3 linked regions of the Tamandua tetradactyla genome follow. The protein of the gene in region 1 binds, or shares a complex with, the protein of each later gene. Links are inferred from orthologs where the notes say so. Each region holds a gene or a part of one and is shown on either strand. Other genes may lie near its edges.

What was found.
Region 2: TRRAP (region 1) and BRD8 share a complex: the UniProt entries of both Homo sapiens proteins name them as parts of the SWR1-like complex. The link is inferred for Tamandua tetradactyla from reciprocal best matches to the Homo sapiens genes TRRAP and BRD8.
Region 3: TRRAP (region 1) and SMARCA4 share a complex: the UniProt entries of both Homo sapiens proteins name them as parts of the BAF53 complex. The link is inferred for Tamandua tetradactyla from reciprocal best matches to the Homo sapiens genes TRRAP and SMARCA4.

Annotation. Positions count from the first base shown.
Region 1 is NC_135349.1:6,908,338-6,915,626, reverse strand, and holds the start of TRRAP (transformation/transcription domain-associated protein), read right to left. Parts: upstream 3,010-7,289; 5' UTR 2,911-3,009; intron 2,622-2,910; exon of another isoform or gene 2,399-2,621; intron 2,260-2,398; exon of another isoform or gene 1,975-2,259; intron 1,942-1,974; exon of another isoform or gene 665-1,941; 5' UTR 603-664; coding exon 503-602; intron 393-502; exon of another isoform or gene 196-392; intron 114-195; coding exon 64-113; intron 1-63. UniProt on the Homo sapiens protein: Adapter protein, which is found in various multiprotein chromatin complexes with histone acetyltransferase activity (HAT), which gives a specific tag for epigenetic transcription activation.
Region 2 is NC_135346.1:17,856,251-17,863,982, forward strand, and holds the start of BRD8 (bromodomain-containing protein 8), read right to left. Parts: upstream 3,002-7,732; 5' UTR 2,703-3,001; coding exon 2,684-2,702; intron 1,744-2,683; coding exon 1,647-1,743; intron 1-1,646. Other genes in the region: kinesin-like protein KIF20A, read left to right, coding at 3,235-3,279, 3,731-3,916, 5,073-5,162, 5,263-5,382, 6,029-6,167, 6,292-6,479, 6,566-6,698, 6,877-7,071 and 3 more. UniProt on the Homo sapiens protein: May act as a coactivator during transcriptional activation by hormone-activated nuclear receptors (NR). Isoform 2 stimulates transcriptional activation by AR/DHTR, ESR1/NR3A1, RXRA/NR2B1 and THRB/ERBA2.
Region 3 is NC_135337.1:90,868,791-90,876,556, forward strand, and holds the start of SMARCA4 (SWI/SNF-related matrix-associated actin-dependent regulator of chromatin subfamily A member 4), read right to left. Parts: upstream 3,002-7,766; 5' UTR 2,894-3,001; intron 2,828-2,893; exon of another isoform or gene 2,711-2,827; intron 2,412-2,710; exon of another isoform or gene 2,287-2,411; intron 1-2,286. UniProt on the Homo sapiens protein: ATPase involved in transcriptional activation and repression of select genes by chromatin remodeling (alteration of DNA-nucleosome topology).

The sequences.
Region 1 (7,289 bases):
GCAAAAGGAAAGTACATATATGTGGATATTTATAACAGAAAATAAAAAATATAAAGTATGTACCTCAAAATTTTCACTAACTTCTTGCATCATCTTTAACTTCGTTTCATCAGCTGTAAATGTCAAAACAAATCATTAGTAACTGAAATTAAGTTAAGGATGTTCCTAAAATTACTTAAGTTTTATAATTTAAGAGAAACAATCAGATCTTATCAGTTTGACCATCACAGCCCAACAGAAGGCACATAACTAGTTGCCTACAGTCAGTCACATACACTCGTACACCAGACACATGCCCAGATGAGCATACAAATACATACACACACATGCACGCACAAACACACGTGCCTCTTTGGGGCTCCAGCCAGTTAAGCTCATCACTTTGCTTCTCCACAAGACCTAAAGAAAGTGTAAATTAGGATATTATTTATTTCAGTGTGCACATCATTTGAACTGAGGACGAATAAATGCATTTCCTACGTGACGAAAAGCATCAACTCACGTGTATTTACATCAGTGAGAGCTGCCACAAACTGAAGATATTTTTTCATCAGAGTGGTTTGGTCAACCACCGTGGCCCCTTGTGTTGCAACAAACGCCATTTTTCTTTTGTGCTAGTCTGTTTCTTAAGAGAATGGTTTTAGGTCCATGAGTTCATACCAGCCTATGAAAAGAAGCATTTAGTTAGCCAACTTATCAAGGCACAGGTTCAGAATCTGTGAAAAGCTGATCTAAATGCCTATGCTCATCTAAATTATTTTTGTGTTAATCAAGGATATGACACTATTTCCTCTGTTTTTTTTAAATAAAATTTATCTAGATCCATTTTGTCTACTAAATGTATCTAAACATAATGTTTAAACACATTTGTTTTTTCTCCCCTACCCTCGTCTTTCTTACCCTAAGCCAGAGGTTAGCAAACTGTTTTTGTAAAGAACCAGATAGAAAATATCTTAGGCTTTGCAGCCATGAAGTTTCTGTTGCAACAACTCAGCTCTGCTGTTATAGCCAGAAAGCAGCTACAGACAACAGCATGTAAACAAATGTGCGACTATGTTCCAGTAAGACTTTATTTATACATGCTAAATTTGAATTTCATAATTTTCATGTATCCTGAAACATCATTATGCTTTGGATTTTTTTCTTAGCCATTTAATATCGTAAAAGCCATTCCTTAGTTCAAGGACAGTATGAAAACAAGAGTATAAAAACAGAGATCGGGCTGGAGTTGGCCTGCTGACGAGTTTGCCAACCCCTATCCTAGGCAATCTGGTTCTCAAACTTCAGTGTGCATTAAAACCAACAGGTGACAAAGGTGGATTCCCAAGCACCACCCAGAGAGGCTGTGTGCCCCAGTGAAGGGTACAGGAAGCTGTAAATTTTTGTTTGCAGCTGTCACAGATTAGGCACTCAATTGAAAAAAAAAACCGAACTCTTCGAATGAATGAATAAAAAATGCTTCAAAAAAATGAATAGAAAACAGACTGTTGACACCACTTTGAAAATCGCTGCTCCCAGGTGGACACACCTGAATGAATGAGATTTGTTTTTTATTTTAAGAGCTGTGGCCAAAATGTCTAGAGAACCTGGTGAAATTGTTCTTTCACCCATCCTCCCTGCATATATAAATGCCTGATTTTACTTTGCATTAAGAGGTGGTTTCACAGCTTAGCTTTCGTCTTTCTTCAACAGACAGAACAATAATGTGTCTGCAGGAGGACATGCTCCCCTGCAGTTCAAACCAAAGAGTCCCTTCTGGTCATTTCTCAGACAAAAGAGGACCGCCGGTAGCTGTCCTAGCATTTGTCCACTATCTCAGGACAAGAAGAGTCACTAACGAAACTAAGACCAGGATTCTGTCAGCCCTGCTGAGGGTCCTGGCAATTGCTTGCCTCTTTCAAGTCACAATCTCTCCTCCAATTACCTAAGACATCCCCCTCCCCCACCGGCATCTCCACAACGAGAGTCCCAAACCTCAGAGTCAAGGCCTCTTCCTGCCTAAGAAACCCCCTGCTCCTGCCCAGGCCTGCCCAAACTCGTCCAAGCCTCGGAGCCCGTTTTCAAGTCCTCGCCGGCCCGCAGAGTTCAGAGGCGTCAAGTCTTCCACTCCTCGGGGTGCCGCGACGCGAGGTCCCGCCTTCCGCTGGGCCCCAGGAGTCTGAGGAGAGGAGACCGCCCATGCCAACTCTCTCCCAGAGCAGCTCCAGGACTCCGGAGTCCGAGGGGCCGGGCCTCGGTTCCGCCCAGCCCCCGCGCCAGGCCCAGGTCAGAAGCCAGGGGGCGGCGTCGCGCCCGGGTAACCCGTCGCCCGCACCCTGCAGACCCCCAAAGCCCGCCCGGCCGCGCCGAGCCTGAGGCGGCGCCGCCGGGCCAGAGGGGGCGCTGTGGTAGCCGCTACCTTCGCTCTCCACACCGGATCCGGAGAGTCAGGTACCTGCGTGGAGGCCGGGTTGGGGGGGAGCGCCAGGCTGGCCCGGAGAGGGGGCGCCGTCGGGGGAGGGGGCCCTTGTCCCTCGCCCGCTTCCTCCGGTCCCAAACGGCCCTCCGGTTCCCTCCTTTTGTCACCGTCTCCCCGCCGCCACTCCACCCCGACACTCGGCGACCGCCTCCCAGGCCGTGCTACGGCGAGCGCAGAGGGCCAATTTCCGCGCCCGCTAGCCCTCCGCATCCGCTTCGCCCCATCTGGGCCCGGCAGCGAGCGGAGGTTTCAAGGCTGCCGCTATGCCCCGCCGTCCGGACCGGGCTCCGAGGGAAGGCCGGGGGAGCCCGGGGCGGTCGGAGCCTCCTTCTATCCCTTCCCGGAGCTGCCGTGCCGCGGAAACCTCCCCACTCCTGGGCCGGCCCCGTGAAGCCGCCGCGCGCACTTCCTGGGGCCGATTATCCGTCCCCGCTGAGGGCGCTCGCCCTCACCTCGACCTCGGCCGCCGGCCTCCTGCAGCCCCGGGCCCGCGACCCCCAGCTAAGCCAGCCGGGCCGCCGCCGTCGCCGCTCCGCCGCGCGCAGTCCCGCCCCCGCTTAAAGCAGCAGCACCCGCCGACTGGGAACTAGGTCCCGCCGCCCCCGCCCCTAAGTGGGTGCGGCCTGGGCGGGAGTGGGGAGGGGCATCCACGGCCAGGGTGGGCACGGGTGGGCCCGCCCTGGTCTTTAAAGCCCTGTTTGCAGAGGGTGGGGTTGCCGACTCGGCTGCCCCCCGAGGCAACTGCCGAGTTTCCCTGGGCAGCTCCCGCCCCTTAGTCTCTCCGCAGGACCCGTGCCGGGGGAAGAGAGGGAGGCTCGGGGGCTGCTGCTGGGCGGGAGGCACCTGAGGGGCTCCCTGTGCAGGCGGCGGTCGGGCCCAGGTCGGGAAGCGTGGCGGGCAAGGCTGGGGTTTTACCCCCGGGCTTCCTTTCTGTGACCCTGGGCTCCTCCTTCGACCGCCAGAGGGAGAGGAGGGTCTTTGGGAAGGCTTAGGCTGGAGACCACCCGAGACTTCGCATGTCTAGGAAAGCCCCGGAGTTCTGCCCGGAGGTGGCCGACTCTGGCCCGCCTTCTGCCCGCGGGCAGATGCCGAGGCCTCCCGCTGCGCTCCACGGAGGGCAAAACCCGGAGGAGTCAAAGCTTCCGGCCAGGCCAAAACTACGTGGAGGCCCTGGGGGCAGTGAGGCAGAACAACTTGATGCCCAGGCAAGGGCACTCAAAATACAAACTTCTTAAAGGTTCGTGAGTTTTCCTGCCTTGAGCCCCAAAGCTGGGTATCAGGACGTGGGCGTGCCGTCGTGCCTCACCTACATGTTCCATCCATGGGAGTGGGCCTGGTCATGGATGGTTACCATGTCAGAGGGACAAAGCCAGAAAGTGATCACCTTAACTCCAGTACCTCCAAGACCTCGCTCCACCTCCTGCCCCATCCTCTAACCCCTATCCTCACACCCACCAAAATCTTCAGCTTCCCGAATAGATACAGTTTGCCCATTGCAATAAATAGAGCTTGCAATACCTGCTGATTTCCTAGAAGTTGCCCTGTTCTGGAACATGCCCCTTTCTTGTTTAATGTTGCCACACAAGAGGAGCTTCAGCTGGAGTGTTGGGATTGTTTTTAGCATCAATTAATCGTCTGCCCTAGGAAAAGTAAAAGGAGTCAGCACACCCCTACCGCCGTGGAAGAAGTTCCCTGTTTGTGAGCAAAATCTTCTATGCCTCATTCCCCACCAAAAAAGTCTGAAGTCTGAAGTTGGGGATTGTTGAAAATCTGAGGACCAAAATCGGTGTGCTACTTCATTTTGCTAGGAGAGCAGACGTAAAACAAAACAAAAACTGCAATAGGCAAAATCTTTGCTTAAGTTTTGAGTTAATTGCACATGATAAAAACACAAATTAAGCCTAGCTTAGAGCAAGCAGGCACCCTGGCTTTGGTGAAGGCCCTACACTTCTTATGACCTGAGCGTCTATCCAAGTACTTGCCACACTGTTTTGATTTTTATTTGTTTATTTTTAATTGTAAAATATATATACATTAACATAAAACTCATTTTAACCATTTTAAGTGGACAGTTCTTTGACATAAGTACGATGCAAATACTGCTTTCACCATTATCTATTTCCAGACAATATTTCCATCATCCTAAACCAAAATTCATATTTGTTTCACAATAACTCCCCATTCCCCTCTTCCACCACCCTGGTAACCACTATTCTGCTCTCTGTCTCTATAACTTGCTTCTAATATTTCATAAGGAGAAAGCATATAATATTTATCCTTTTGTGTCTGACTTATTTCACTCCACACAATGTCTTCAAGATTCATACATGATGTAGCATGTCCCAGCACTTCACTTCTTTTTACGGTTGAATAATATTCCGTTGTATGGATAGACCACATTTTGTTTATTCATTCATATGTTGATGGACACTTGGGTTGCTATGAACAGTGCTTCAGGGAACTTTGGGTGTACAATGATCTGTTCAAGCCCCTGCATTCAATTCTTTGGGGTACACACCTAGAGTGGAATTATAGGGTCATGTGATACTTCTATGTTTAATTTTCTGAGAAACTGCCTATTCTAGTTTGCTAGCTGTTGGAATGCAATATACCAGAAACGGAATGGCTTTTCCAAAGGGGGAATTTAATGAGTTGCTAGGTTACAGTTCCAAAGCCAAGAAAATGTCCCAATTAAAACAGGTCTATAGATATGTCCAATCAAAGGCCAAGGGAACCAAGGGAAAGATACCTTGGTTCAAGAAGGCTGATGAAGTTCAGAGTTTCTCAAGTGAGAAGGCACATGGCGAATACAGTCAGGGCTTCTCTCTCAGCTGGAAGGGCACATGGTGAACATGGCGTCGTCATCTGCTAGTTTTCTCTCCTGGCTTCTGGTTTCATGAAGTTCCCCGGGAGGCGTTTTCCTTCTTCATCTCCAGAGGTTGCTGGCTCGTGGACTCTCTGCACCTCATGACTACATTGTTCTGCTCTCTCCGAATCTCTCATTCTCCAAAATGTTTCCTCTTTTATAGGACTCCAATAAACCAATCAAGACCCACCCAAATGGGTGGAGACATGTCCCTTAATCCAGTTTAACAACCACTCTTGACTAAATCACATCATCCAGGGAGATGATCTGATTACAGTTTCAAACATACTTTGAATAGAAATTATTCTACCTTTATGAAATGATATTTTGATTAAAACATGGCTTTCCTAGGGGGTATACTTCCTTTCAAACCAGCACACTGCCAAACTCTTTTCCACAGTGGCTGCACCACTTTACATTGCCACCAATAATGTACAGGGTTTCTCTTTCTCTGCATCCTTGCCAGCATTTGTTTTTTTAATTCCTTCATTTTTTAAAATTATAGCCATACTAGTGGCTATAATTATAGTTTTTGTGTGTTAGTTTTTTAGAAAAAGAAATAAAAAGACAACAGAAAAAGAAATAAAACGATAACAGAAAAAAAAGATTATACATACCATACCCCTTACCCCTCCCTTTCATTTATCACTAGCATTTCAAACTAAATTTATTTTAACATTTGTTCCCCCTATTATTTATTTTTATTCTATATGTTCTACTCGTCTGTTGATATGGTAGATAAAAGGAGCATCAGACACAAGGTTTTCACATTCACAGAGTCTCATTGTGAAAGCTATATCATTGTTCAATCATCATCAAGAAACATGGCTACTGGAACACAGCTCAACATTTACAGGCAGTTCCCTCCAGCCTCTCCACTACATCTTGAACAACAAGGTGATATCTACTTAATGCGTTACAGTTTTTAATTGGCATTTCTCTATTGACTAATGATATTGAGTATCTTTTCATAATCTTTTTGGCCATTTCAATGTCATATTTGGAGAAATGTCTGTTCAAATCCTTGGCCCATTTTTTAATTGGGTTATCGCTTTGTTGTTGAGTTGTAGCTGTTTTTATATATTCTGAATATTAATCCCTTATCAGGTATGTGGTTTCCAAGTATTTTCTCCCATCCCATAGATTGTCTTTTCACTTTCTTGCTAATGCCCTTTGATGCACAAAAGTTTTTTTAATTTTGATGAAGTCCCATTTTATCTATTTTTGTTGTTGCTTGTGCTTTTGGTTAAAAATCTAAAAATCTATTGCCTACTACAAGGTCCTGAAGATATTTCCCTATGTTTTCCTCTGTGTATTGTATAGTATTCTTATATTTAGGTCTTTGATCCATTTTGAATTAATTTTTATAAATGGTGAGAGATAGGGGTCCATATTCATTCTTTTGCATGAGCATTTCCAGCTGTCCCATCACTGCTCAATGAAGGGCCTGTTCTTTGCCCCATTGAATGGACTTGGCACCCTTGTCAAAAATCAACTGGCCATAAATGTGTGGATTTAACTCTGAACTCTTGATTCTATTCCATTGGTCTATAAATCTATTCTTATGCCAGTACCACACTGTTTTAATTACCATAACTTTGTAGTAAGTTTTGAAATGAGGAAATGTGTGAGTCCTCTAACTTTGTTCTTTTTCAAGATTGTCTTGGCTATTCAGGGCCTCAGAGATTGGACTTTCTGGAGGCTGGACCTGCAAAGAGGTCCCCACCCCACCCCCACTGTGATAAATGAACAAACTGGCATCTTATCCTCCCTCTAGGTTTCTTGTGAGCTTGGACAGGGTGACCCAGTGTCCCGATGTCTGACAATTCCAGCTGCCTTGATACAGTCAACAAAGGGAGCACTTTGAACTCAGTTTTGCCCACTCCAAGCTTTTTGGGGATCACTGTTATCTACCCAGTGGTCCCCACCTCCCTTAGTTACATTGCTGTACAGAACAATGAGGAT
Region 2 (7,732 bases), on another chromosome or scaffold:
CTCATCTATTGAAATAACTATCTGACTAGCAGTTATACGTACCTTTCATAAAATGAGAAAACACACAAGGAAATAAATACAATTTATTTTAAACAGAAAAATTTTGAGAAGTCTAGTATCTTACAAGATTCTTAAAATTGAAAATGTGCATATCTCAGATCTAGCGATGTCACTTCTAGGAACTTATCCTATAGAAATACTGATACAAAGAGAAAACTGTACCCCTAAATGCCCGTAGAAGACAAATGTAAAACAAATTATGGTATATCCAATGGAATACTACTGAGTTTTTAAAAAGAATAAGATCATATCTAGTGTATTGACAGAAAAATACCCACATACTGTCTTAAATGAAATATCAAGCTAAAAACTATGTATATATGATGTTCCTATTCTTATTCAAAAAAAAATTTAAACATGTCCACAAACCACACATAGAAAAATTTATGAAAGGACATATCAAACTTAATGGAGACTACTCTAGAGTAAGAAGGGGAGGATATGGTGAAATCAGAATATTCATTCATTGCTGGTACATTTGCAAATCATCTATGTGATAAGAGATTTGTATCTGAAATATATAAAGAACTCTTACAACTCAAAAATAAAAAGATAAATAACTAAGAAATGGGCAAAGCAGAGTACACAAGTGCTTAAGTAGTAAAATGCTTGCCTTCCATTCAGGGGACCCAGGTTCGATTCCCAGACCTTGCACACCCCCACACCCCCCAAAAAAGGGCAGAGGATCGGAATAGGTATTTCTCCAAAGAAGATGTACAAATGGCCACTAAGCAAATGAAAAAATGCTCAATACCATTAATCATCAGGGAAATGCAAATCGAAACCAAATGAGATACCATTTCACACCCACTAGGATAGTTAAAAACAAAAGGACAAAAATAAGTCTTGGTGAAGATGTGGTAAAAGTGGAATACTCATTCATGCTAGTGGGAATGTAAAACTGTGGTTGCTTTGGAAAACAGTTTGGCAGTTCTTTCAAACTTAAATACAGAGTTACCATATGACCCAGGAATTTCACTCCTAATATACCCAAAAGAATTTAAAGCACAAGTTCACACAAAAACAAGAAAGATTGATGGCAACATCATTCATAATAGCTAAAAGGTGGGAACAATCCAAATTTCTACCAACTTATGAGCATACAAAATGTGGCTATCTATACATGGAATATACTTTTCAGCCACATAAAGGAATGAAGTACTGATACATGCTATATTATAAATGAAATTTGAAAACATTATCCTATGTGAAATAAGCCAGTCACAGAAAACCAACATGTCCAGAACAGGCAGATCAAGAGAGACGGAAAGTAGACTAGCTGTTGCCTAGGGATGGGAGTGGGGTGGAGGAAGTTATGTAGCTTGACTGTTAAGTGCTTCTCTCTGGGGTAATGAAAATATTCCAAGATTAGATTATGGTGATGGTTGCACAACTCTATGAATATACTTAAAACCAATGAGTTGTATTATTTATGGTGATTTACATCTCAATAACTCTGTTTAAAAAAAAAGATGCTTAAAGATTAATATATAGATTAATTAAATATAATTCATTAACTATATCCAACAGCAGGAAAAAATACCCAGCAGTTCTAAGACCCAAGACAGACATCATGGATAACGTACCAATTCTGATCTCCACTTCTCATTACAGAAGATGCCAAACACAGCTTTTCCCGGATGGACCATGGCTCTGTGGGGCCAGAACTCAACAGTTTGTGTTCTGAAAGTAGAGAAAGAGTATACAGATAACCAGAGACACGAGTTTTAAGCACCAGAGAACTAAAAGCCTAATACAAAACACCCAACTTGTTAGCACAAAGTAGGCTCTTATAGCACCAAATCTGGATTTTCGCCGTTAAAGCGAAATAGCTGTGTATCACGGTGCGGGGTGCGGGTGGGGGGTACTTATTCTTTGCATGAGAATTGCACGGTGTGTGGTATATGGGAGAACATTTGATTTCCTCAAAACCCAAGGCTTCAAGCTCCGCTTTAATAAAAGATAGGAAATGACGTATTAAGCCGAAAAAGTTTTCTCGAAAGCCCCAATTTTAAGAATACTTTCTCTAATTTAAAAATACAGGTTTATTTCCCAGGATTCCGAGCGGCTAGCTCCGCCTGCTGCCCCGCCTCCTTCTTAGCATAAAACTGTTTACTAGTCTCATTACCCCGCCCCCAACTGTCGGGCCTAAAAGGCCTTCTCTACCTATTAAACATAAGGAAAATAATTGAGATGTACGAAACTCAATTTTCCCGGTGGCAGAAAAAGCTCACGATTAAAAGACCCCATTTCCACTGCCTCACAAACACATTCGCTAGAAACTGAACTGATGTTTGAGACACCAGCCCCTCCGTATGATGGCCGAATCTGCGTCTGCACGCCCAAGTTTCTAGAGCGCCTTTATGCCTTCCTCCGCGGAGCTCCCTACATACAGGGATTCGCTAAATACTTCCCTTACGCCTCCGCTCCCTCCCTGAGACACAGGACCCTATACTTCGGGCCCCCAACCGTTGGCCTTTACTACGCCGTCAAGCGCAGGTCTCTGGACACCCTGGGCTCTCAGCCAAACCACCCCAACCACTCCCTAAATGTTAGACTGAAATCTGGTGCCTAGCCTCGGCTCTACAATGGCCTTCCGCTCAAAAGTAGCGCAGACACTCACTGCCCGTTCCTGCCGCCATCTTGGCCCCGAAGTCTACTATCCCGGAAGAGTGTGAGTCAGGTAGGACCGGATCCCGGAGAACTCTGGGAAATCGAGTACGGGAGTTTGTTCGCGATGACTCCTGGGAAATGTAGGTTTGTTTGTTTGTTTGTTTTTCCGACCCCCCCCCACCTCCCCCAACGGAGTACGCAAGTTAAAGTAGCGTTGCTAAGGAAGGACAGGGGATGGCAACTGAAGCCTCAGGCTTCTTAGGAAATGAAATGTCTAGGGGTTACGCTAAAGGGTTAAGCCGGACGAATCCGAAGTGACTCGATTCCAAATTTCCGACAGTTGGTAACCCGGACCCACGTGAGAGTGGAGAGGTCAAATAGAAGCAGAAGTCCCCTATTTCGCCCGCCTCCCTTCTTTGCGCTGATTGGTAGCTGCAGGCTCTTTTGTCTGATTGGCCGAGTGAACGGAGCGCGTAATTTAAAACAATGTATCAGTAACAAAGCTGCGCCTCGTGGGCGGAGTTGTGCTGCGGACCGCTAAGGTCCAGGATCCGCAGCTGAATGAGTGAGTCGGTTCCGGAGCGGGAACGAGTGTCGCGGCTTCAGGTAAGTGTGCAGCTCGACTGGAGCCCGGGTTATCAGCTCTTGATTTCGCAGAACGGGCTTTCAGAAGGGGGCACCGCCACCATCTCTTTTTTTCTTAATACCTTTGCCCTCGTGGTGGACTTGGGAAGAGGTTGGAAAAGGAGCCTGGGGATCCTGACCTTTGACTCTGCCCGTGCCCCATAGTACGGAAAGGCGAGGTACCCTACTGGCCTTCTAGTTTTGGAGGTGTATCTCTTTTCTTTCCTATTCAAGGTCGGAAATGCCTCTCCAGAAAGGTTTCAAAGATTAACTCCTCCTCTCAACCCCTTCCCCGTATTTGGAGGGAAAAGGGAATAGGAATTCAGGCAGGCAAACCAGGTTTCCAAGGGTAAGGGGATTGCTTCTTACCTAGAATTTGCAACCCCTTCTGTCCTTAAAGTTTTCCTCCCTACCCACTCTTGTCTCTTTTCAGACCAAAGCTGTCCCTGCCGACATGTCACAAGGGATCCTTTCTCCACCAGCCGGCTTATTGTCGGATGAGGAACTCGCAGTTTCCCCTATGTTTGAGTCTACAGCTGCAGATTTAGGGTCTGTGATACGCAAAGACCTACTGTCAGACTGCTCTGTCATCTCCACTTCCCTGGAGAACAAGCAACAGGTAACAGAGTTGGGGCGTGGCTTGGGGTAAGAAAGTGATATCTCCACCCTACTAGTTGTCTATACAGGGTGTTAGGTCAAAGGCAAGCAAAACTGAGATTCTGAGAGATCGGTTCAAAGTGAAGGGTAATGACCAGTCAAAAATGTAGAGTTGGGTTTCAATAAGAAGAATTAGTATTAGCATTGCATTAATAAAATACCATCATGTCCCTCCCAGTCCTGTTAAATAATTTGCAAAAGGTCATACTGCCATTAAGTAGGTGAAATGTACACTCAGGTTTTAATAATATCAACCATCATTACGATTATTGAGACTTTCTTTTTGTTAGGCCATGATTTCTCAGCTGCAGCATTATTGACATCGGGGGCTGGATAATTCTTTATTGTGGGGGACTGTCTCGGAAATTATAAGATGTTTAGCAGCTTTCCAGGCCTCAACCCCCTGGATGCCAGTAGTACTAACCAACTGGTGACCCAAAAAAGTCAGACATTGCTAAATGTCCCTGGGAGCTTGGGGAGGGGTAGGGGGAACGTTTGCCCTGCTAGAGAACCACTGTACTAGACAGGCCCTATGTTAAACACTGAATCTACATTGTCACATCTTGTCTTCAAAAGTCTTCTTTCTCATAAAGGGCAGGAGCTTTGATGATAACCCTCACTATGAACTACTAGAGCCTCTTAAATTCCTGAGCCATGATAGGCACTAAATATCTGTAGAATGAATGAGGTGGGTGCTATTATTAACCTCATTCTACAGATGAAAAAAACTGAGGCAGAGAGAATTTAAAGAATCTGTTTAAGGTCTCATAGTTATTAAATGATGGGATTAGGACTCAAATTCAGGTGTGTCTGCCTTTATAGTGCTTAACTACTGTGCTTTGCCCTAATATCACATTCTGACTTTCATACCAGTCAACTAATTCTGAGATAATCAGTATGGCAATGAACAGTGGCAGGATACTGATGAGATAGGGAAGAGTGACAGAGTAGTGAAAAAGTCCATATGAGTTGGGATGATTGTGAAAGCAAAGAGTACCTGCAGAGACATTTGGGGTAGAAGGGGGTAGAATCACTAGCATGATTCCTAAGAACGGTGCTATGTTTGCCTATCTGCTCAGATGATTAATCTGTTTTTTTGGGTTGAAATTCTGCCACAGGTTCCATCTGAGGATAGTACCGAGAAAGTGAAAGTATACCTGAGGATCAGGCCCTTGTTACCTTCAGAATTGGAACGACAGGAAGATCAGGTGAGTATCTGAGGAGGAAGGACTCAAGATGGAATGATGTAATATAGAAGTAGTTCCCAGGAATGCTTCCTTTTGTGACAACTGTTTTCCCCACCCACAGAGCTGTGTCCGCATTGAGAATGGAGAGACTCTTGTTCTACAAGCACCTAAGGACTCTTTTGCCTTGAAAAGCAATGAGCGAGGAATTGGCCAAGCCACCCACAGGTTCACCTTTTCCCAGGTATGAAGGTTCTGGGCTGTGAACAAAGAACCAGCATCTAGGGACAATTTCATTTCCTCTCTAGAAAGAACACTTCTTTACTTGACTGTGAGATCTTAAGTTGTGTGTGTGACTCTCTGTATGTTCATGTGTATATAGCCATGCATGAGTTTGTATATGTACCTATATATATACACGCATATAAATACACACATGTACACATCTACAGTTTGGGGAGGGGTACTGTTATGTGCTAGTACTGTCTGAAGTACTTTATGTGCATTAATTCACGACTCTATTGTTGTGATTATTATTGTTGTTAATCCTATTTTCCCCGCAAGGATACTGTGGCTCAATGAAGTAACATATATGGTACAGTAGGACTTGGATCCAGAGCCATCCATCCCTAAAGTTCATTGTGAACCATTATTCTGCCTCATTGAGTGTGTAGCATTCCAGAAGAATTTGTTGATTTGGATGAAGGATGGACTAGCAGAGAAGTGGTTGGATCGTTAGTATTTAGGGGCAAGCTTGTAGCACTGTAGGAAGAGGCTGTTTGAAGTTGTCTCCAGAGCCAATCACCCAAGAATGGAGGAATAAATCTGCACAGGGGGAGAATGGGTGATGAAGGGTGGACATACCACTGACAAATTGGCTTTGTCTCTAGATCTTTGGACCAGAAGTGGGACAGGCATCCTTCTTCAACCTAACTGTGAAGGAGATGGTAAAGGATGTACTCAAAGGGCAGAACTGGCTCATCTACACATATGGAGTCACCAACTCAGGGAAAACCCACACAATTCAAGGTAAGTAGAAAAGCCTAAAAGGGTTGCTAGCTGGCCTATGAGGATGTTATCTTTGCCTTTTAATGTTCTGAGTTGGGGGGAGAAAGGTAGCTGCCTCAGTTGTCCATCTCTCATATACTTCCAGGTACCATCAAGGATGGTGGGATCCTGCCCCGGTCCCTGGCTCTGATCTTCAATAGCCTCCAAGGACAATTTCATCCAATACCTGATCTGAAACCCTTGCTTTCCAATGAAGTAATATGGCTAGATAGCAAGCAGATCAGGCAGGAAGAAATGAAGAAGCTGGCCCTGCTAAATGGAGGCTTACAAGAGGTGAGGTGTTAGTGTTCATGGAGGCAAGGGTGAGGGTACATATCTTTGGAAAATTTTGGACTTATCTCTTCTCTGGGCCCCTCCAGGAGGAGCTGTCCACTTCCCTGAAGCGAAGCGTTTATATTGAAAGTCTGCAGATGGGTACCAGCACCAGCTTTGACAGTGGCATTGCTGGGCTCTCCTCTACCAGTCAGTTTACCAGCAGTAGCCAGCTAGATGGTATGTACCATAATTGGTCTCTTTGCCAAGTAACAGTAGAAACTTAGTCTCTGCCCCAACAGTTGCCAGGGTTCAGACCATAGGTTACAACCTGAGTTCTGCCTTCCAAGGCCCCTGCAGGCCAAAAGGGAGATGGACTGCTCTAGAATTAATGCCCTGTACATTGCTCCTTCCCCAGAAACAAGTGACCGATGGGCACAACCAGACACAGCCCCAGTAAGTGTCCCAGCACACATTCGCTTCTCCATCTGGATCTCCTTCTTTGAAATCTACAATGAGATGATCTATGACCTGTTAGAACCACCTAGCCAGCAGCGCAAGAGGCAGACTCTGCGGCTGTGCGAAGATCAGAATGGCAATCCCTATGTGAAAGGTATGGGAAGACGTAGGAAATGTCATGAACACTGGAGGGGGTTTGGGGGAGAAACTAGGAAAAGAGTTGATTGAGTGTACCCATCTTATGCCCTTCTCTCCTTTGGCCTAAAGACCTCAATTGGATTCATGTTCAGGATGCTGAGGAGGCGTGGAAACTCCTGAAAGTGGGTCGTAAGAACCAGAGCTTTGCCAGCACCCACCTGAACCAGAACTCCAGTCGCAGGTAAAAGTCAACCTTTACTGTATTCCAGTAAACACAAGTCCTCTGCCCAGTCATGGAAGGTATACAATGACATTTTTTTCCCTTAACTTTTAGTCACAGCATCTTCTCAATCCGGATCCTACACCTTCAGGGGGAAGGGGATATAGTCCCCAAGATCAGCGAGTAAGTTTGTCTAGAAATTTGGGTTTCTAGATCCTAAATGGTAATATGTGGGAGGTCCTCAGAGGAATTACTTGTGTTAGATCCTATGTTCTCCTCCCTTGGGCACAGACATTCTTGGTAGGCTCTCCCCTCTTTAGAACTATAGAGGACTAGAAGACTCATAACATGTGGAGTCCTTAAATCAGATCCTGTCCATCATTCTAGGCTATCACTCTGTGATTTGGCTGGCTCAGAGCGCTGCAAAGATCAGAAGAGTGGTGAACGGCTGAAGGAA
Region 3 (7,766 bases), on another chromosome or scaffold:
GGGAAGCTGTGGTAGGGTCCCTTCCCGCAAGCTCCAGGAGTCGCCACGCTTGCTTGTCATCTGTCTAGGGTTGAGGTGACCTCTGTGCCAGGGTCGCACTGAGGGCAGAGGCCAAGCACGGCCAGCATGGGTGAGGCTGCACTACCTGCCGTCCTGCCCTCCCCACTGCACAGAGGCACAGAGAGGAGAAGTGGCGAAGCCAGGATTCAAACCTGGTGGTTGACTTCAGAGCCCCCCAGTGATGAAATATCCTTGGACCTCTGCTTCTTCGCTGGTAGAATGTTTTCTCAAGTGGACACTCACTCGACATACCTCATCCCTCCCCCTCTCTCCATGTATAATAAACGGCTAGGTGTTAAGGGGTAGGCCAGGGTTACTCCCCAAGGAGGGGCAGGTGTATGCAAACAATTTGTAAAGAATTATTCCTGTTGTGAGGGTGCTCACCTAAATCAATCTTTTCACCAACAGGAAGAGTTTGGGAACCACGGCACAGCCCTACAGCAGACTCTGCTGATGCTACTCCCCTGCCCCACAACCTCCAACAGCAACATCCCCAGAAAGGATGGACACGAAATGATGACTGAGGCGGAGGGAGGGATATTTATTCCTTTATAAGTGCATGTGCGCTGATTTTAAAGGAATTAAATACACACACATTATATAATCAGCACAGCAAACCTGGGGCTTCTGGGGTGTAGAGTGACTCTATGTTTTTAGTTTCTAAAACAGATGACTGACCACACACACACACACAAGATGAAGTAAACATAAAGACTAACAAACTGAGTGCTTACTACGTGCCAGGCACTCCCCCTGCTATCTCATTCACTCCCCCTCCCCAACAACCGTTTACAGGGTCACAATTTGGGGGATCAACTGTTAAGCGCCTTGCTCGAGGTCAAGCTGGGAATTTGTAGGGTGAATGTGAACCCAGGAAGTCTGAGTCCAGATTGAGCCCTCCTCACCACTACCCCACACTAATCACCAGCCCAAGATGCCCACACACCCTCAATTCCAGAGGGACCACAGTTTGGCAAACACCGGCCTGGAAACTTAAAACACTGAAACCAGCAACTAGCACTCACTGCTTACATCCCGGTCCCAGCACCATGCCAAGCCTGGGCTGCCACTGGGAACCAGGAAGGCGTGGCTCCTTCCAACAGTGCTTGGAGTGGGATGGATGTGTAATTACAAATCGGGGTGACTGCTACACGGGGAAGCAACATGGGCAGCAGACAGGTGCAACGACCCAGACCAGGCAGTCAGGGAAGGTGCCCCTAAAGCTGCATCCCTGCCAGTCAAAACCCAGCCCTGAGCATCTTCCCTGAGTATGTGTGAATGTCATCTCTTCCATGCAGCCTCCCTAAACCCTGGTTCTCCCCTCTCCCCCAGATTCTAGATAGGCTGTTAAATGATTAAACGATAAGCCAAAGTGATTTGTTCCCATACCACCCACATCTATTTAAAGGTCGGCTTCCTCTACAAGACTGGTCTTGAAAGCACCCAACCCCAAACCATCTGGCACCCAGCAGGGACTCAACCAATACTTGCTACACCATGAAAGAGGGGCATCCAACCCCAAACCATGTGGTACCCAGTAGGGACTCAACCACTATTTGCTGAACCATGAAAGAGGGGATTGAACCAGACAAATGACAATAAACAGTGCTTTCCACCCGCCACGAACCATTTTACAGGCTTCCACAACTCCATTTGTAATATTATCCCTATTTCACTAGGGAGAAGACCAGAGACTCAGAGAGATCAAGCTACTTGCCTAAGGTCACACAGCCAGGCGACTGTCAGCGCCAGGAATCACACTCAGTGGAATCCAGTCTGACAATTTACATTGAAAACTTGTTTCAAACGCTTGGGAAGTGGCTCTTGCCACTTTCTACTTTCCCGCAGGATCCACCCTCTAAACAAAAAAAAAAAAAAAGAAAAATCAAGACGGACACCAAAATACTCCCGGAAAGGTTCACGATTTAAAAAGAGCCTAAACGTTGAAAATAAATTGGGAGGGAGGGGGGAAAAAAAGGGTGCCAAACAAAACAATGCTTTCAACAGCAAACATTTCCCTCCGAGCTGCCAGGCACTTGCCGCCGCCACCCCAACTCCCCCACTTCGGGGCAAACGTTTTCAAGTCGCTACCTCCGCGGGACTGGGGGAGTCATTGACCTTTCCTGGAACACCTAGAATGCCGTGATTTTTAAATACATTTTTAGGCCGGCTTTGGGACTACACAGGGGGCTACTGATGCTCGCGTCCCGGCGGCAGCGGGCACACCTGGGTTCTTCCCGGATCGCACTGGGGTCCGACAGGTTAGAACGTAGCCAGAAAAGTCCCGACGCCTGGCTATTGTTGCAGCCGCGAAGACGGGGGATTGGACCCCGGGACGGTAGCGGGAGGCGAGCTTTGTCCAGCGACCCCGGCGGGCGCGCGCACGGGGGGGGTGGACGCGCAGTCTCCACGCGGCCCGGAGTCCCCCGCGCCCGCCCGCGGATGCTGCTGCAGCCACCGCGGCCTCGCTCCGCTATGGCCGGGCCCGCGCGCGCGGCTGCGGGCCAGGGCTTCTTGGCCCTCGGGCGCCGCCGTACTCCGGCCCCGCTCCAGGCGCCAGCGGCCCCCTCCCCCCGCGGCGCCCCGGCTCCATTCAAACCGTCTTCCCCCGCCCCGCGCGGCGCCGCTCCCCGCACCCCGCGTTCCTTACCGGGAGCCGCCGGCGGCGTCGCCTTCCCGGCACCGCCCCCGCCCCTCCGCGCGGGGCCGGGGGCAGAGTGGGCGTCTCGCCTCTCTTCACCAAACAAAGAGGCCGCCGCCGGCGCCGTCACCGAGCAAGGGGAAGCCTCGCGCGCGCGCCCGTCCGCCTCGGCCGCCCCCCCTCCACACACGCCTTCCGCGGTCCCGCTGCGCGCTCACGCGCCGACTCCCCTCCTCCCACCACGGGCGGTCGCTTGAGCTTCCGCCGCCCGCGCCAGCCTCGTGCGCGCGCCCCCGCCCTTCCGCTCCCCGTGCGCGTGCGCGCCCGCGCGAGAGCCGCGGTTGGTGGGCGGGGCCCATGGGTAGCACGCGCAGGGGACGCACCGCCCCTCTCGGGCCGGGCTGGCTCTGCGCCTGCGCCCAAGCAGTCTTCCTCCTCCGCACGCCGCGCGTCCCGACGCCGCCGAGCATGCGCGGAGCGGCCGCCACGGAGGCGGGGGCGGCGGGCGATTGGGGGATGGGATGGGTTGGGATGGGGGCGGCGGCGTGTGGTCCGCGGCGGCCGTCGGGTCTGGGGGTTCAGACGTGGAGACCCGAGGTGGGCCGGGAGGGCGGGACGCAGGCAGGCCGGGGCTGAGAACCGTCTTCATCCCTGGCCCGCGCGGCGAGGCTGGGCAGGCCCTGACCGTGGCCGTCTCCTCTGGGGCCATTCATTAGCTCGGCCAGTATTCATGGGCTGCACCGGGCCCTGCCCTGCGGCCCGGGACGGACAGAGGTCCAGCCGTCGTGGCGCTGACGGTCTAGCAGGGGAGAGACATAAGCCAAATCAAGGAGAATCTATAGCCTGTTCGGAAGACTCACGGAGGGTCGAGGGCTTGGGATGGGGGTGGCCTCGCGGCGAAGACCTTTGAGTAAAGTTAGGAAATCAGGGAGGGAGAGAGCCTGCTCCGAGCGAAGGGTCTGCAAGTAAGGCCCGTCTGTGTTTGTAAAATAGTAGCTCCAGAGCTGCCTCGTTTGGTCTCCCGAGCAGGACAAGCGCCCCCCAAGGTCACGCCCCATAGCCTGTACCGACCCTCCCCTGCTTCCCTCAGGCCGGGACTGGCTTATTTTCCTGGTCTCCGCTGGCTTTGACCCCCTCACGCCTTTCCTCGGTGTGAATCAGGGCCTCCTCTTCCCTTCCTAGCTATTTCTTGGACGCCGCTATATCGCCTGACTCTCTCGTTTAAACCCGTTTGAGTCAACATGTAGTAGTGGCGCACCCCTTCGCCTCACGACAGATACTTAAGAAAATTGTATCGAAACATAGTAGACACAGGCTGCCTGATGAGTTAGAGGACCGCACCTGCATCAGCTCCTGGGCTCTTTCCAAGGCCAAAGTGGCTGGTTTGCAGTGTAGAGCAGCAGGTGACATCTCATGCTGGAGTCAGATGATCTAGGTTTAAAACCTGCCTCCTTAACACAAATTGTGAATGTGGTTAATGCCCCTGAATACGTCCGCTTGGGAGTGGTTGAGATGGGACAGTTTACCTTGTATATGTTTCCAGGATTTAAAAAGAGAAAGAGACAATGACAATTAATTGCAAAACATGAGTATGCACTGGAAACTAATATGAACAGAAGAGAAAAATACTCAAAAGGACGTTACTGGGGCAACTGAAAAAAATTCCGACGTGGGCTATAAACTTAACATCAGCGTTAAATTTCTTGAACGTGATGACTGTACTTAAGGTGATGACATAAGTGAGAGTTCTTGGGAAATATACTTGAAAGTGTTAAGTTTTGGAGTGTGATATATGCAACAGTACTCTCAAATATTTAAAGACGGAATGCGGGAGACCCACATTCAATTCCCGATCCATGCACTTTCCAAAAAACAAACAAGCAAAACAAAAAATTCAACAAATGGTGCTACAATAACGGGATACTCATATGCATGAAATGTGACCCCACCATGCAGCATACAAAACAAAAAAAGGTAGAACAAATGTGGCAAGATGCTAAAAGTAAATCTGGGAACCTGAATGGGGGGTTCATTAGAGTTCTATGCATTGTTTTTTAATTATCCTTGCAACTTTCCTGTAAGCTATTTCACAATAAAAATTTAAAAAAACAAAACCCACCTGCATGTTGTTAGCTGGTGAAGTCAGGCAGGTTTCCTGAAGCGGTATACACCTGGGTTTCTTCCCCCTGGTAGAAGGAGAAGTGGCACCCACTCCAAAGGTTGGTGATGGGGAATCTGGGAGAGCAGGCCCCTATAGCTCTCCCTACCTTAGCTAGTGTTGTTAAGAGTAATGCACAGTAAATGTGTAACCAAGAAATGAGAATTTAAGGAATGAGTATGGTTATCAAATCATTACATGGATACTGCTTTTTGGTATATTGGAGTAGATAGAGGGAAATACCTGAAATCTTTAAACTGTAATCCAGCTGCCTTGATTGCTGGTAATGATTGTTTAACCTTTATGTTGTGCCTCTGTGGTTGTAAAAACCTTGTGACTCACCTCACTTGTACCCATTTATCCAATTTCTCAACTTTAGAGTCTTGCGATTATTAAAGACATCACCTAATGTTTATTAATGAAGGGTCCTGGGTCAGCCCAGAACTAACCCACCGCAAGTCCAGAGTTTTCCTGAAAACTGAGACTGGATCTAACCCCCTAGGCCCACCTGACATGCACAGTACCTTAGACTTTAACTTATGTCACCTGTACCTCATTATAATACTAATAAATCACACCCATTGGGCAGTGCAACAGTGGCTCAGTGGCAGAATTCTCAGCTGCCATGCCAGAGAACCCGGGTTTGATTCCCAGAGCCTGCCCATGCCAAAATAAAAAACAAAAAAACAACAAAAAAACCCCACACCCATCATCATATTAAGACTGCCATTTTCTTACATACGTTCTGTGACTAAGCATGTAATGGATCTGCGCATGCTTAATAATTAGATCACCTCTTATTATATCAGCTGGGATCATTGTGCTCATTATCCTAAAACCTGCCCATCTTTTAACATTGTAAAATGATCAGAATGAGTGCAGTTCGGGGTAACAGGTTTTTGGGCCAATGGGCCATCTGATCTCTTGCTTCGTGCCTAGCAATAAATTTTTTCTTTCTGAAACCCCAGTATCTCAGGAATTGTCATTTGAGTGCTTTGGGCAAAGGAATCCACTGCCTTTGTACGGTAACAAACGAGAGGAAATCGAGGCTTCTGCGGTTGCTGGACTGTTTTCAGTCTAGAGGCTAAGCAATCAGGTTTTTCTGTTCTGCAGGCACTACAGACCCTTTTGGTACCTTACAAAGCTTCAGAGAAAGAAACCATTTACAGATCCATGTCCGGACATCTGACTGTTTGAGTGGGTCATCAGGATAAAAGTGGATTGGGTTTTGAGAGACTGTTTTATACATATATATATAACCTATATTTAGAGATAAGAATGACATCAAACAGGTTGGGGCTAAAGTAATTCAGAACATAGGGGTAAGGAAGACAGTGTCTGTATTTTAGAACCACACATACTCTTTGAAACCAATGGAAGGAAGATTTATTTGGTCTAGAACTGAAATTTTTGGTAGTGCATAATCTAATTCAACCTATCTGCATAGCTCATTTGAACAACTGAAACACAGGAAGCACAGAATAAGAAAGCGGTCTTTTATCCTGTATAGATTACTGTAATGCCTGGAAACATCCTAGAGTATATTAAAGAGATAATCAAAAAGCATTGGCAAAGTCCCCTGAGGGAGGGGAAAAATACCATGGAACTATTAAACCTTACCATCAGGGAATCTCCTGATACTGTGTCAAACTTTAGGGACACCCAAATCAATAGGCCATGCCCTTGATCATGAGGCTTACTCTTGTGAAGCTTATGTAGGTAGCAGAGAAGCTTAGACTACCCATAGGCATGCCTCAGAGTTACTTCTGGAGGACCTCTGTTGTTGCTCGGATGTGGCCTCACTCTCTCTAAGCCCAACTCTGCAAGTGAAATCATTGCCCTCCCCACTACATGGGACATGATATCCAGGGGTGAAAGTCTTCCTGGTGACGTGGGAGATGACTCCCAGGGATGAATCCAAACCTGGCACCGTGGGATCAACAATTCCATCCTGACCAAAAGGGGGGGAAGAAGTGTAACTAATAAAGTGGCAGTGGCAGAGAGAGTTCAGATAGAGTTGAGAGGCTACTCTGGAGGTTGCTCTTATGCAAGCTTCAGGTAGACCTTGCTACCTGTCATAACCTGCCAACCCCCAACCAGGACCATTCCAGTCAATCCTAAAGAATACCTAGGGCAATATATAAGATTCCACAAGGGTTCTAGGCAGTAAAGTAACTTTCCAGAAACCTACAACCTCCAGATGCGTCCCTGGTCCAGATAAATCCTGAAACCTAGCCCAGCCGCTCCAGAACATCAGACAGTTCCATCTCCCTACCCCATATTAGTGAAAAACCCTTCCTATATAAAAAATTTAGAATTGCAATAGCCCAGACAATCCCAAAGAGAGGGGTGGAAAGATCAAAGGTGATGGTGGAATTATACATAGAAGATAGAACTTAACAAATAAATATGAATGCTGAATCATTAAATTGATATCTCTTTTAGTCTCATATTTTATTTATTTATTTATTTTAAACTTTTTTATTAATTAAAAAAATTAACAAACAAAACATTAAGATATTCCATTCTACATATACAATCAGTAATTCTTAATATCATCACATAGTTGCAATTCACCATTTCTTAGACCATTTGCATCGATTTAGAAAAAGAAATATCCAGATAAATTTGCTTATTGGTTTTTCTATTTCTGAAAAGTAAGTTGTTGGGATTTTATTGGAATTGCATTGAATCTGTAAATCAATTTAGGTAGAATTGACATCTTAACTATATTTAGTCTTCCAATCCATGAACACGGTATACCCTTCCATCTATTTAGGTCTTCTGTGATTTCTTTTAACAGTTTCTTGTAGTTTTCTTTGTATAGGTCTTTTGTCTCTTTAGTTAAATTTATTCTGAAGTATTTTATTCTTTTAGTTGCAATTGTAAATGGTATTCGTTTCTTGA